Linked DNA regions of Nothobranchius furzeri. The protein of the gene in region 3 purifies or fractionates together with the protein of the main gene of each other region. This does not show direct contact. Links are inferred from orthologs where the notes say so. Each region holds a gene or a part of one and is shown on either strand. Other genes may lie near its edges.

What was found. The genes of interacting proteins can lie anywhere in the genome.
Region 1: the proteins of sem1 (region 3) and ube3c purify together in Homo sapiens (affinity purification with western blotting; 3 studies listed by BioGRID and IntAct, with this or other methods). This does not show direct contact. The link is inferred for Nothobranchius furzeri from reciprocal best matches to the Homo sapiens genes SEM1 and UBE3C.
Region 2: the proteins of sem1 (region 3) and rad23b purify together in Homo sapiens (co-immunoprecipitation; 3 studies listed by BioGRID and IntAct, with this or other methods). This does not show direct contact. The link is inferred for Nothobranchius furzeri from reciprocal best matches to the Homo sapiens genes SEM1 and RAD23B.

What each region holds. Positions count from the first base shown.
Region 1 is NC_091747.1:47,535,394-47,538,893, forward strand, and holds part of ube3c (ubiquitin-protein ligase E3C), read right to left. Parts: intron 2,938-3,500; coding exon 2,840-2,937; intron 2,757-2,839; coding exon 2,624-2,756; intron 2,023-2,623; coding exon 1,775-2,022; intron 1-1,774. UniProt on the Homo sapiens protein: E3 ubiquitin-protein ligase that specifically catalyzes 'Lys-29'- and 'Lys-48'-linked polyubiquitin chains.
Region 2 is NC_091746.1:57,625,072-57,628,571, reverse strand, and holds part of rad23b (UV excision repair protein RAD23 homolog B), read right to left. Parts: intron 2,761-3,500; coding exon 2,633-2,760; intron 2,387-2,632; coding exon 2,230-2,386; intron 2,118-2,229; coding exon 1,990-2,117; intron 1-1,989. UniProt on the Homo sapiens protein: Multiubiquitin chain receptor involved in modulation of proteasomal degradation. Binds to polyubiquitin chains.
Region 3 is NC_091751.1:26,676,023-26,679,987, reverse strand, and holds the start of sem1 (26S proteasome complex subunit SEM1), read right to left. Parts: upstream 2,801-3,965; 5' UTR 2,716-2,800; coding exon 2,640-2,715; intron 2,258-2,639; coding exon 2,164-2,257; intron 122-2,163; coding exon 79-121; 3' UTR 1-78. UniProt on the Homo sapiens protein: Component of the 26S proteasome, a multiprotein complex involved in the ATP-dependent degradation of ubiquitinated proteins.

The DNA of each region.
Region 1 (3,500 bases), on a different chromosome or scaffold from region 3:
CGTTTTACTTTTTAAAGAATGGACAGAAGTTTCTTTAAGCATTGTAGTAAATAAATACACGCTTTTATGCAGCCGGTGTTCATATAAGAACACTTTACTATTATTACCCATCATGGAAACAAAAGGCACTGTGTGTGTGTGTGTGTGTGTGTGTGTGTGTGTGTGTGTGTGTGTGTGTGTGTGTGTGTGTGTGTGTGTGTGTGTGTGTGTGTGTTAGGGCTGGGTACAGAAACATAGTACCTCTTTAACCATTTGGTTCTGTTTACTTCAGCTATAGAGGTGTCACAAATAATGACCTACTTCTTACAAGTTAAGCAACTGGAAAACTCCACATGACTTTTATTTTGAAAGTTTCTGGATGTTTTACACTGCTTTTGTGTTTGACATCCTGTCTGGCCCAATCTGAACTGGTGAGCTTGATGCTTTGGAAGCTTACCTCGTAAGGCCTACCTAGTTCCGTACACTTCTGGGACGCTTCCAAAACGCGACACTTAGCAGACGACGGAAAAGCACCCATCCACTTTAGCGGCAACTAATTACTGTTTACTACGCTTTGTGGACATTAAACGACGTTATGCGTCAGGTGGACAGTGCTGTGTGTCATTTACAACGTTTCTTCAGATTCTCAAACTAAGAAACCATTGAAAACATCAAAAGTTTGGCTGCTTTTTGTGAAAGTAAATGAAAAATCTGTGATAAGATTTGTGTCGCTAAATATGAAAATACAAGAAATTTTATAGCCAAAGCATGCACCGTCCTCCACTGCAAATAAAATAAATCAGACCCGAGTCCACAAGCTTCTCCCTCTGCTGCACATTGGAGGTAGCGGTCGACCGATATTGTTTTTTTCTATTGTCGATACCGACATGTAGTCAGCCGACGGCCGATATGTGCTGCCAATTTCCAGACATTTTCCACCTTATTTACATGCTAAAATGGTACTAATAACATCAGTTGATGCACAAAATTTCCAAAGCTGATGCGGTTTTTGACTCTGAATTCAACTAACTGTTAAATCTTAAAGTTCATTTAGGGTACTTATTATGCAGATGTTACTAGTGAATGTAAAAATACATTTAAATTAAATGTACCAGGCACCAGGCTGCCCGAGGATGTGCCTGCCTTTACTGAGGACAATTGTCGACCGATGCCAATAAAAAAAAAAAAAAGGTAAATATCTGCCTGGTCCATCTCTAACCGGTGGTGACATCAGGCTCCTTTTCTCTGAAGAAAAATTGCTAGAATAAAGTTTAGTGTACATAGTTTTAACTTGTTTCATTTTTCATTTCTACTGTATGTTTATTTATTTAATTCCTTGGGACATAAACGTTTTATATTTCAGGATTTTAGAGAGCAGACATTTTTTTTAACCAAAGAAGCGATAGCAGTTTAAACTTGATCTTCATGCAGTTTGTGTTTGTTTTGCACTAAAAGGTAAATACTAACTTATTGTTTTTTTTATTTATTATTTAAATTCTGTGTTTTCAACTCATTGTACAAAGATGTTAAATTGTAGTTTCCCGTACATTTTAGTTAGGGAAACAAAATAAATAAAAAATAAATTGTAGTTTACCAGTCGCACAGAAAGTTTGCCATTTTTGATCAGTTTACTTATAAAAAAAACACGTTAGTCTTAAAATATTATTGATCAAAAACCAGGTAATGTTGATGTACTGGTATTGTAAAAACTCTAAAAGGCGTCTGGCTCTCAACTCCGACATGGAAGGAAGGCTAGGCCTTTACATCTTATTAAATTTGACTTTGAAAGGCTCACCTTTCCAAGGATCCTGCCCAGGAAATAGTAGTGTCTCGTGAAAGAGTCCCCCACCAGCATCTCTGCAGCAGGGTTGGGGTACAGCAAGCCCTCGTTGGTCGTCTTGAAGAATCCCTGGTTGGGATTGAAGCCCGACTTGAGGAGCTCGTTAAGGAACTCGCGGAAGATGCCTCCACCATCGATGCCTGCCTCGTCCAGACCGTGGGCGTTTAGAAGGTGGACTCTGATCTTTTTCTTAAGATCCGGCTCTGGTTTAAGGACACAAAGAATAAATATCCGATGGAACAAGAAACAAATTCATTAATATTAAAGCAAAACAAAACAATCCCTAAAAAACACACTTTTCATTGAAGCCCTTTCTTAACTTGCCAAACATTCGAATCAATTTCAGGTCATCTTTCAGAATAATAAAGGTACAAAGATAAATCAAGGCGGCTATAACTTATGGACACATAGATGATATAGATCATGTCTTCAGTCCAGGTCTCCTACTACTCTTTTTAATCAGATTGCCCACCCCCTCGCTGAAGTAGCCTTTCAAATTCAAACACAAAAGAGGTGACTTAAAATAATTGATTCTGCTTTTATGTGATCCATTACAATAATCAGAATCACAATTATGCTTTACTGAAATCCAATAGTCTGTTCCAGGAGAGCGGCGTTCTTCATCTTTAATGCAAACTGGAAACTGGATCTTCATTACTGAGGCTTTATAGAACATAATAAGACATTCAGAAACATTCACTGGAACCATGTGAGCGCAAACAGGATGTAATGTAGGCCGATTTCACAAACAAAACAGAACACAAAGTAAGGAGATGCTGCTAAAGTCGAAGACGCCGCTGGTACCGTTTTCTGGAGAGAGTTTATCGTAGGCGTCTTCGTAGATGTAGTTGCGTCGGATGGTGACATTGATGCCATCGGGGAACGGCCCGTCTCCTTGCACGTCATATTTGTCGACGTAGATTAACCTCTGGAAGATCTAGAGGGCGGACGTGAACCCAGCGACAGTCAGTAATGATCCTCAGAGTTCAGACACGTAGAACAGGAAACATGTTCTGATACCTTCACCCTCTCCTCAAAAGGAACAACAAAAGGCAGCTCGGTGAGGATGGCCAGATGTCTCTCCTCGGACACGGATAGCTGCAGAGGCTCCAGACCAACTGCAGTAAAACATAAACCGATTTTAAATAAGATTATAAACAACTTTTCCACTTGTCAAGATACACTCAATTTTTTACTAAATGTTTCTCCCAAATACTTCATGGAAGACAAATTTTAGGAATGAACAATCTGTCAATTTCTGATCGAGTTTGTAATTTCAGAATAGTGGCACATTTGGTTATTTTTACGAGTTTGCTTTCCTTTTCGTGGCACTACTGTGGCCAATATTATTTATTAATGTGGTCGTCTGTCTCTGTCGCAATTGTCTGTCCCTCACTCTGCGCTGTTCTTGAGTGTGAGACAGTGAGTCTGCAATATCCCCACTGAGGGCCAAATAAAGGTATTCTTATTCTAATCTTACTTGCTCGTTTCCTGCAACAAAAAGGATTTACATAATAACACTATGTGGATATTGAAATTTTCTGATGGCACAAACCTTTGTGGAGTTATAGTACGGTATAGTATGGTATCAAAGAACGCGAGTAAAATCTGTCGGCATTTGGCGATTGGTGTGAAGGTGGACCCACCTTGGTGAAACAATGCTAGGGAAACTTTTAATGCA
Region 2 (3,500 bases), on a different chromosome or scaffold from region 3:
CAGATGGTTCTCATCCACAAATTTCATTTATCCAGGATGTAATTTTGTCAGTGGAAAAACAGCTTTTTTGCATAATTGGTACTAAAATCAATAAAAGACACCTGTGACCAACGGGAATCTGACATCATCATGGCTGATCTGTGTCACTGGAGGATTTAACAGAGCGTGCTCCCTGGAGGGAACGTGTTCTCCGTGAGTGCTCTGATCTCAAATGCTCGGATTTGGGACCCTCTGTGGCGCTACAGACAAACCTCACAAAGCCGATCACAGTTCATATTTTATTTTACAACTATGAGAATCCCCCAGAACCTCCTCTGCTCCCCGATCAAACACGCCACGTTGCCAAGGTAACCAGACTGAATGACAGCTCAGAGGCTGCGCTCTCAGACAACATTTCCAAATAAAACTAAATCCAAACAGAACGACCCCTTAAATGTAAACGAGAACCTGTTACTCTACGACTGATTAAATCCATTTTGTAAATTTATTTCTGACAGGAACCTCTCCTCTGTCCCGACCGCGTAACCTCTGTAACTTGTTTGGTTCTTTTGTGCTTCGGCAGCCAGCGTTTCGATCTCGATCTTTTCTGGGAAAAAAAACCAAGGAATCCCCTCATGTGCTGAGGACGTAGCGTGACCAAATATGGTTCATTGAGGGCGTTTCTCGATGCAAATGGCTGTCAACAGGCACGAGCACCTGAGTACGCACAAGTGGGATTAATCAACAGCTGACTGCGGAGGAACATGCGTACGAGAGGCCACTACATGTTTCATAAACCAGATTTGGGCTGTTCGTACCAACATTCTAAATTCCATTCGTAGGATTGAATACAGGAACATTTCTACGAACGTTTGATAAATGAGGCCCAAGGTCTGACAAAAAGACACAGGCTAATCAGAATGCTCAACACGATGACCACGTCTGCCATTGTTGCATTGTTTTTTTAAGTTGCGTACTGATAACTTTGTGCTGCTCTTGGAACTCTGGAGTCCACCCGGCAACAACGTGTCCAGTTGCTCTAAAGGTCTGATCAAACCTGGACCAACGAGCTCGCAACGGATGAGCAACAGCAAAACATTTCAGTTCAGCTGCTCAGGAGCTCAACTAATTTTAATTCATGTGTTTGTGTCGTTGCTGCTCTCCAACGGTCTCTGAAAGGGATGAGGCTGCGGCTCAGGTGGAAGAGAAGGCTAGCATCAGCAGAGGCTGTCAGTTTAAATCTAGTGTCCCTGGGCAACCGTGTTGCCCCTGATCTACAACTCTGTGTGTGTGTGTGTGTGTGTGTGTGTGTGTGTGTGTGTGTGTGTGTGTGTGTGTGTGTGAGTGAGTGAGTGAGTGAGTGAGTGAGTGAGTGAGAGAGAGAGAGAGAGAGAGAGAGAGAGAGAGAGAGAGAGAGAGTTGATCAGCCTTTGTAAGCGTGGTTAAATCTCCGGCCTTTAATTGCACATTTTCTTCATCACACCCGTATTTTGCAGGTTCTATCATCTCAGGATCTATCTGAGCACTCGTTGCATTCGTCCTACAACAATGACACAGCACACGTTTATACTGTAAAGCAATAAGGCGAATCATGAATATGTGGCCAGTGTTGCACTAGTCTTCGGGGATATGACATCTTAAACCACACGGTGTGGTTTTGTGTGCTCCATGGCAAATATGTGCTCTGTGTGTATTTGCAAACACAGATTTTAAACATCTGCTTTCATCGTGGGACAGGAAGTGTCAGCAGGTGTGTGATTTCAGCATCGCAGCTCAGACGATTTAGAGACTGTTTAGTTTCAGCTGGATCAACTCTGAACCTCGGCTGAAGCTACGTTTTCAGAAGTATTCCCTTTAAAAGAAGGAAAATATCTGTTTTCTAAAAATAAAAATAAAAAAAAAGAGCGTCAGACAGGTAACAGGTGGTAAAAGTGATTTAGTAAATAAACTCCAAGTGTATTTAAATGATTTTATATCGTTCAGGCAGGACGAAATCTGTCGGTCCTTTACCTGCAGCAGCTCTGGGTTTTCCCTGCCGATCTCCTGCAGCAGAGCTGGAAGCAAGGCGGCGTTCTGCTGAATCAGTTGTCGCATGACGTGGAACTGAGGCTGATTTCTGAGGAAGCTCAAGGGGTTACCTGTTAGTGTGAGTCAAAGTGTCAAGCGGCGAGTGAAAGAGAGATTATTATGCAGATAAACGTTTATTAATGAAGGCTACTGTGTGTTTTAGGCAACAGAAAGCCTGTTTACCTCCTGCAGCACTTGGTGAAGAGCCAGTGCTGGCAGGGCCACTAATGCTGCCAGCAGGTGCAGCTGGAGCTCTGCTGGCTGGAGCTCCACTTGCTGGAGGTGAACCAGCAGCAGCGTCGGGTCCTGTTGCAGGGCCCTGATCTCTGCCCGGAACACCCTGTGGGAGGAGTCACGACTCATGCTGGTTTTAAATGTCACGCAGAATAAACAAGTAGCTCGAAGATGTTGTTGCCGCTTTAAATCTACCATAAAGTATGCATACCAAGATTAAGTCAAAGTGTTTAACAAGGTGCGTTTAGGTGAAGGTGTCTGTGATTATGAGAAGGAACAATTAGCTCCATCTTTCCCAAAGGTCACACAGCTGTGTGACCTTTTAAGGAGACTTTATCGGAGCTGTTCTTACCGAGAGCAGGTACTCCATGGCTCTGTCTGGGTTGTTAAAGCTCGCTCTCATTGCTGCCACCACCTGCTCTCTCTCATAGCCCATTAGCATCATCTCGTTCACCATGGTGTCATACGATGAGCCTGTCACTGCAGAGGCCATGAAACACACGCACGCACACGCACGCACACGCAAGCAAGCAAGCAAGCAAGCAAGCAAACACACACACACACACACACACACACACACACACACACACACACACACACACACACACACACACACACACTTAGTACCTTTTCTTTCCAAACCTTGTCACTATTAGCTTTTTCTGTTGGAGCTCGTTAAAAGACACATTTCTGGTAACTACTCACTTTAAAAGTGAAAAATTAAACTAACACTCTGTGAATGTAGGAATTACATTCTTAACATGTTCTCTACTATGGCACCCCATTAGTAAAGTATAGTATATAATAAATCGGTTAATTGATTAAAAGAGTGAATTACTCAATCAATCAATCAATCAAAGCTTTATTTATAAAGCGCCTTCCGCAACCCTGTCAGGAAGCCCAAAGCGCTGAACATGGTACAGTTGTAAGTAATTATACTGAATAAATCAACAATAAAAGAAATTCAAATTACAAAATACAAATTACAAAATACAAAATGGAAATTACAAGATAGATGAAACATTCCGGTAAAATACAAATGTGTGAAACACAATTGGATTGAGTGGATGGATTGAGTGTCCCAATGAAAACTGTGGAATGGATTCAACATAAAAGAGGGCCAAAATCAAACATGTTCTGGAAACGCCAAGGGGAGGAGGTGTGTTTTTAGGTGATTCTTAAAGACTGGCAGAGAAGGGGACAGCCTAACTGAGGGTGGC
Region 3 (3,965 bases):
CTAATTAACATTTGAAAAGCGGGGCGGTGAACGACCCAGCAATAAGAGTCCATATCCAGCGGAAGGCTCCGTGAGCCACTACGACGTCTCCATCTTGTATCCGTGCTTTTCCAGCTCCGCTCTGCAGGGAGGAGAAGGAAAATAAAAGATCAAGTCAGCAGAGATGATTACAGGTGGGCGGCCGGGGCACAAGTACCCTCGGCTATTGATTGTAAGAACCATTAAGTGATGGAAGTGAAAAAAATAATAATACATAAATATTAGATAACGCATGCAGCCATGGATTTAATGATTATACACACATATGGCCGCTGTGCCCTTACGCAATAATGATATCTTTAAGAAACAACTTAATAGTACGGCGACTGTAACTGACCTAAATACAACAGCATTCTGCTGTCCTGAGTGTACTCAAACATAAACAGAGCTGCCACGCATCTATCAGCTGGTATCGATTCTGTGTGTCGGCCTAAAACGCATCATCAGTCCCATCCCTGAGGAGAAACGCGCTTTAATCAATCCAAACACTAAGCCCATAGTAATGTCACTAGGGATGGGTACCTTTGACATTTGAATCGATTCGGTGCTAATTACCACTACCTAGGAATCGATACCGGTACTTAACGGTACCAATTTTAGATACTTTTGAGTGTTTAATATTTTGATTCTCTTTTATAATTAAATATATATTTTTCTCAATTCATAACCATATTTGATAAATATCACGATAAATAACATATAACAGTTTGTATTTTAACATCGTCCTTGTAGTTTTATAAGCTGATAATTAAACTGAAGCAAACATCTTTACTGTGAACTAAATTTACTGTGTATCTTCATTCCTTTTACCGTCCTTTTTCATTTGATTTTTCCTACTGGGAAGTTAGAATTTCCGAGGAGAAAGCGAACGCACCATTAGATGATAACAATGGTGGCATAGGAAGCTAACATATCAAGCTAACGTTATCTTAAACAGTTTAACTACTGGAGCAGATTTAAACGATGATGCCTCACACTTAGATCGTTGTCACTGGTTCATCTTCACCCAATCACCCGTCGCATTTAGTAAAGCGAAGCCAAACTTTAGAGCGCGTTCATGTTCTTCTAGTCGGGATTTCGGAGTTCCGAGGAGAAAGCGAACGCACCATTAGTGAAACGGAAGCTAACAAATCAAGCTAACGTTATCTTACATTTTATTTACCTACCGGAGCAGATTAAGATGAGGATGTCTCACTTAGATCGTTGTCGCTGTTTTCATCATCACCCAGTTACCCATCACATTTAGTGAAGTGGACCCAAGCTTTAGCGTTCGTTCTTTCTACCATGCTGCTCTGTTTACAACTCGCTCGCAGGGACCGATGACATAACGCTCTTGCGCATGCGCAGCTGTCTAGGCAAGTACTCGTTGTGAAGGACGGGTATCGAAACGAGGCACCCTTTCAAATGAAGTGAATCGGTGCTCGGCCGGTACTATGGAATTCGGTCGGTACCTTAAAAAGTACCGAATTCGGTACCCATCCCTAATTTTTCCATGTTGTTTAAAAGCATTTTGCTTACACAACATGAACTATGAAGAAACTTCTGAGCTAAAACGTTTCAACAGAACAAAGTACTTCAGGCCCTGCAGATTTTTATCCACATCAACAGAAAACTTGAGAACTGCACAACAATATTGTCCCGATTTAGTTTTCTAAACATCTGGTGCTGATACTGAAGTTTAGAGAGTTTATGCTGGATAATTCGTTGGAGCGAGGGGGAAATGTGGCAGAGTGCTCGTAAGTTTGGTGTGGAATATATTTTTATTTTAACTAGCAGGTGGACAGCAATGGCTCAACAGAATAAAACGGCACATATTATGTTGCCATTTAATGTTTTCTCATAAAACACTCTGTACACAACAAAACTATCTAAACACTTAGTTTTCTACAACAATCTGAACAAGAACATTTCAGGTATCATTTATAAAATAAAAAAAACAGGAAATCAAGAGCTCACGTGGAAGCAAGAACCAAACAGTCATAAACACCACTGTTCACCAGCCACGTGAGATGATGATAAAACAGCCAGTTTAACGGTTTCGGGTTGACTTGCTCACCTAGATAAAAGTACACTCTAAAGTATTTACACAGAGTCTGTTCAATCCTGCATGAATCTGAGGGTTACCGTAGCTGATTAGAGAAATCATCCTCCACATTGTCATCGTCCCAGTTGTCCTCCCAAACATGAGCGTCTTCATCTTCATCCAACCCCGTCCAATCTGGAATAACAACGCATGCATGTCAGTAAATATAGCTGTAACCTATAGATTCACTCTTAAAAACCCTCCACATGAGCTGATGTTTCACCTGTTCTCGTTTTCCTCCGTAACACTGTTAGCTAATGCGTGCTAATGAACACAGGTGGTGAAACATCAAAACGGTACAACTACACAGATATAATACAAGCACGTTTCCGCATTACAAGACAAAAAGATCTACTAAGCTGAATAATCCGTTTTGCTGAGCTAGCTACCAGTTCCTTGCTGTTTTCCCAGCTAACCGAAGCTAAGGCTAACGCTAGCTGAGTCATCGTAGCTAGGCTCAGAAGCGACAATCCGCTAAAACAAAACTACATCGCTAAATAACAAGTGGCTGGTTTACCTTCAGCTGGGAATTCTTCAAACTCGTCATCCTCCTCTAGTAATCCCAAATCTACGGTCTGTTTCTTGTCTGCCATGTTATCTGTCTCACTCCGCCGCTGCTTGCTAATGAATGCTTCCGTTCCACACGCGCAAACGGAATTCTGGGAATCTGTGTCTGTTCACGCGAGTTGTTACTGCGCAAGGGAGCGCAGGAGGAGGCGCAGCTCCTAAGAAGAAGGAGAAAATGTCATTTCTATAGCGCCTCTCAAGATTAAAATCACGAGGCGCTTCACAAAAATAAAAAAGAATTTAGAAAATGGTTAAACATATATTTAAAATGAGCAAAAATAGACAATTGTGATTAAAAAATGTTAAGAAAGAGAGAGAATGAATAGGAAAGAGGGAAATCAGTGGATCCTGAGGAAGGTGGAATAGGTGGGGAGAGCAGAATAAAGAGAGAGTGGTGAAGAAGGTCATACAAAAGCCAGCTTGAACAAGTGAGTCTTCAGCTGTTTTTAAAGGAGACCACTGAGTCCACTGATCTCAGCCTCAGGGGGAGAGAGTTCCAGAGTCTGGGGGCCACAGCAGCAAATGATCTGTCACCTTTGGTCTTTAGCCTGGTGCACTGCACAACCATTAGGCTTTGATCACTGGACCTCAGGGACCTGCTGGGGGTGTAGGGACAGAGAAGATCACCAATGTAAGATGGTGCTTGTCCATGTAAGGCCCTATAGACCAGAACCAGGATCTTCAAATGAACCCTGAAGTTGACTGGCAGCCAGTGAAGCTGAAGGAGAAGCGGGATGATGTGGGTATATTTGGAGGAGTTGGTCAGAAGCCGAGCACAGGCGTTCTGAACCACCTGCAGATGGTTCAGGGAGGTTCTGCTCAGACACGTGAAAAGAGAGCAGACCAAGAGCAAAAATCACTTACAGACGGCTTTGTGTGCAAATGTTTTTAATGGATCACGCTGAATTTGAGCTATTTCTAACTTTTACCTTATTTAGAATAGAATAGAATAGAATAGAATAGAATAGAATAGAATAGAATAGAATAGAATAGAATATCAATTTATTGTCCCTCAGTAGGGAGCTTATAGTGTCACTGAATCAATAACATTCATTATATTGAGCAAATAGGAAAGAAAAAAAATTAAGAGTAAATATCAAGAAAACCAATTGCAGAAATACTTAGAAAGTTAAAAATAACTAAATACTGGATGTAAACACATGATAAGAGATACTGCCTTCTTGCAGTCTCTTTGATCGCAATAGACTTCACCTGGTCAATAAAAGATTAAATATACATTTTTAATAAATGCATTGACGATTATCTAACAAACATT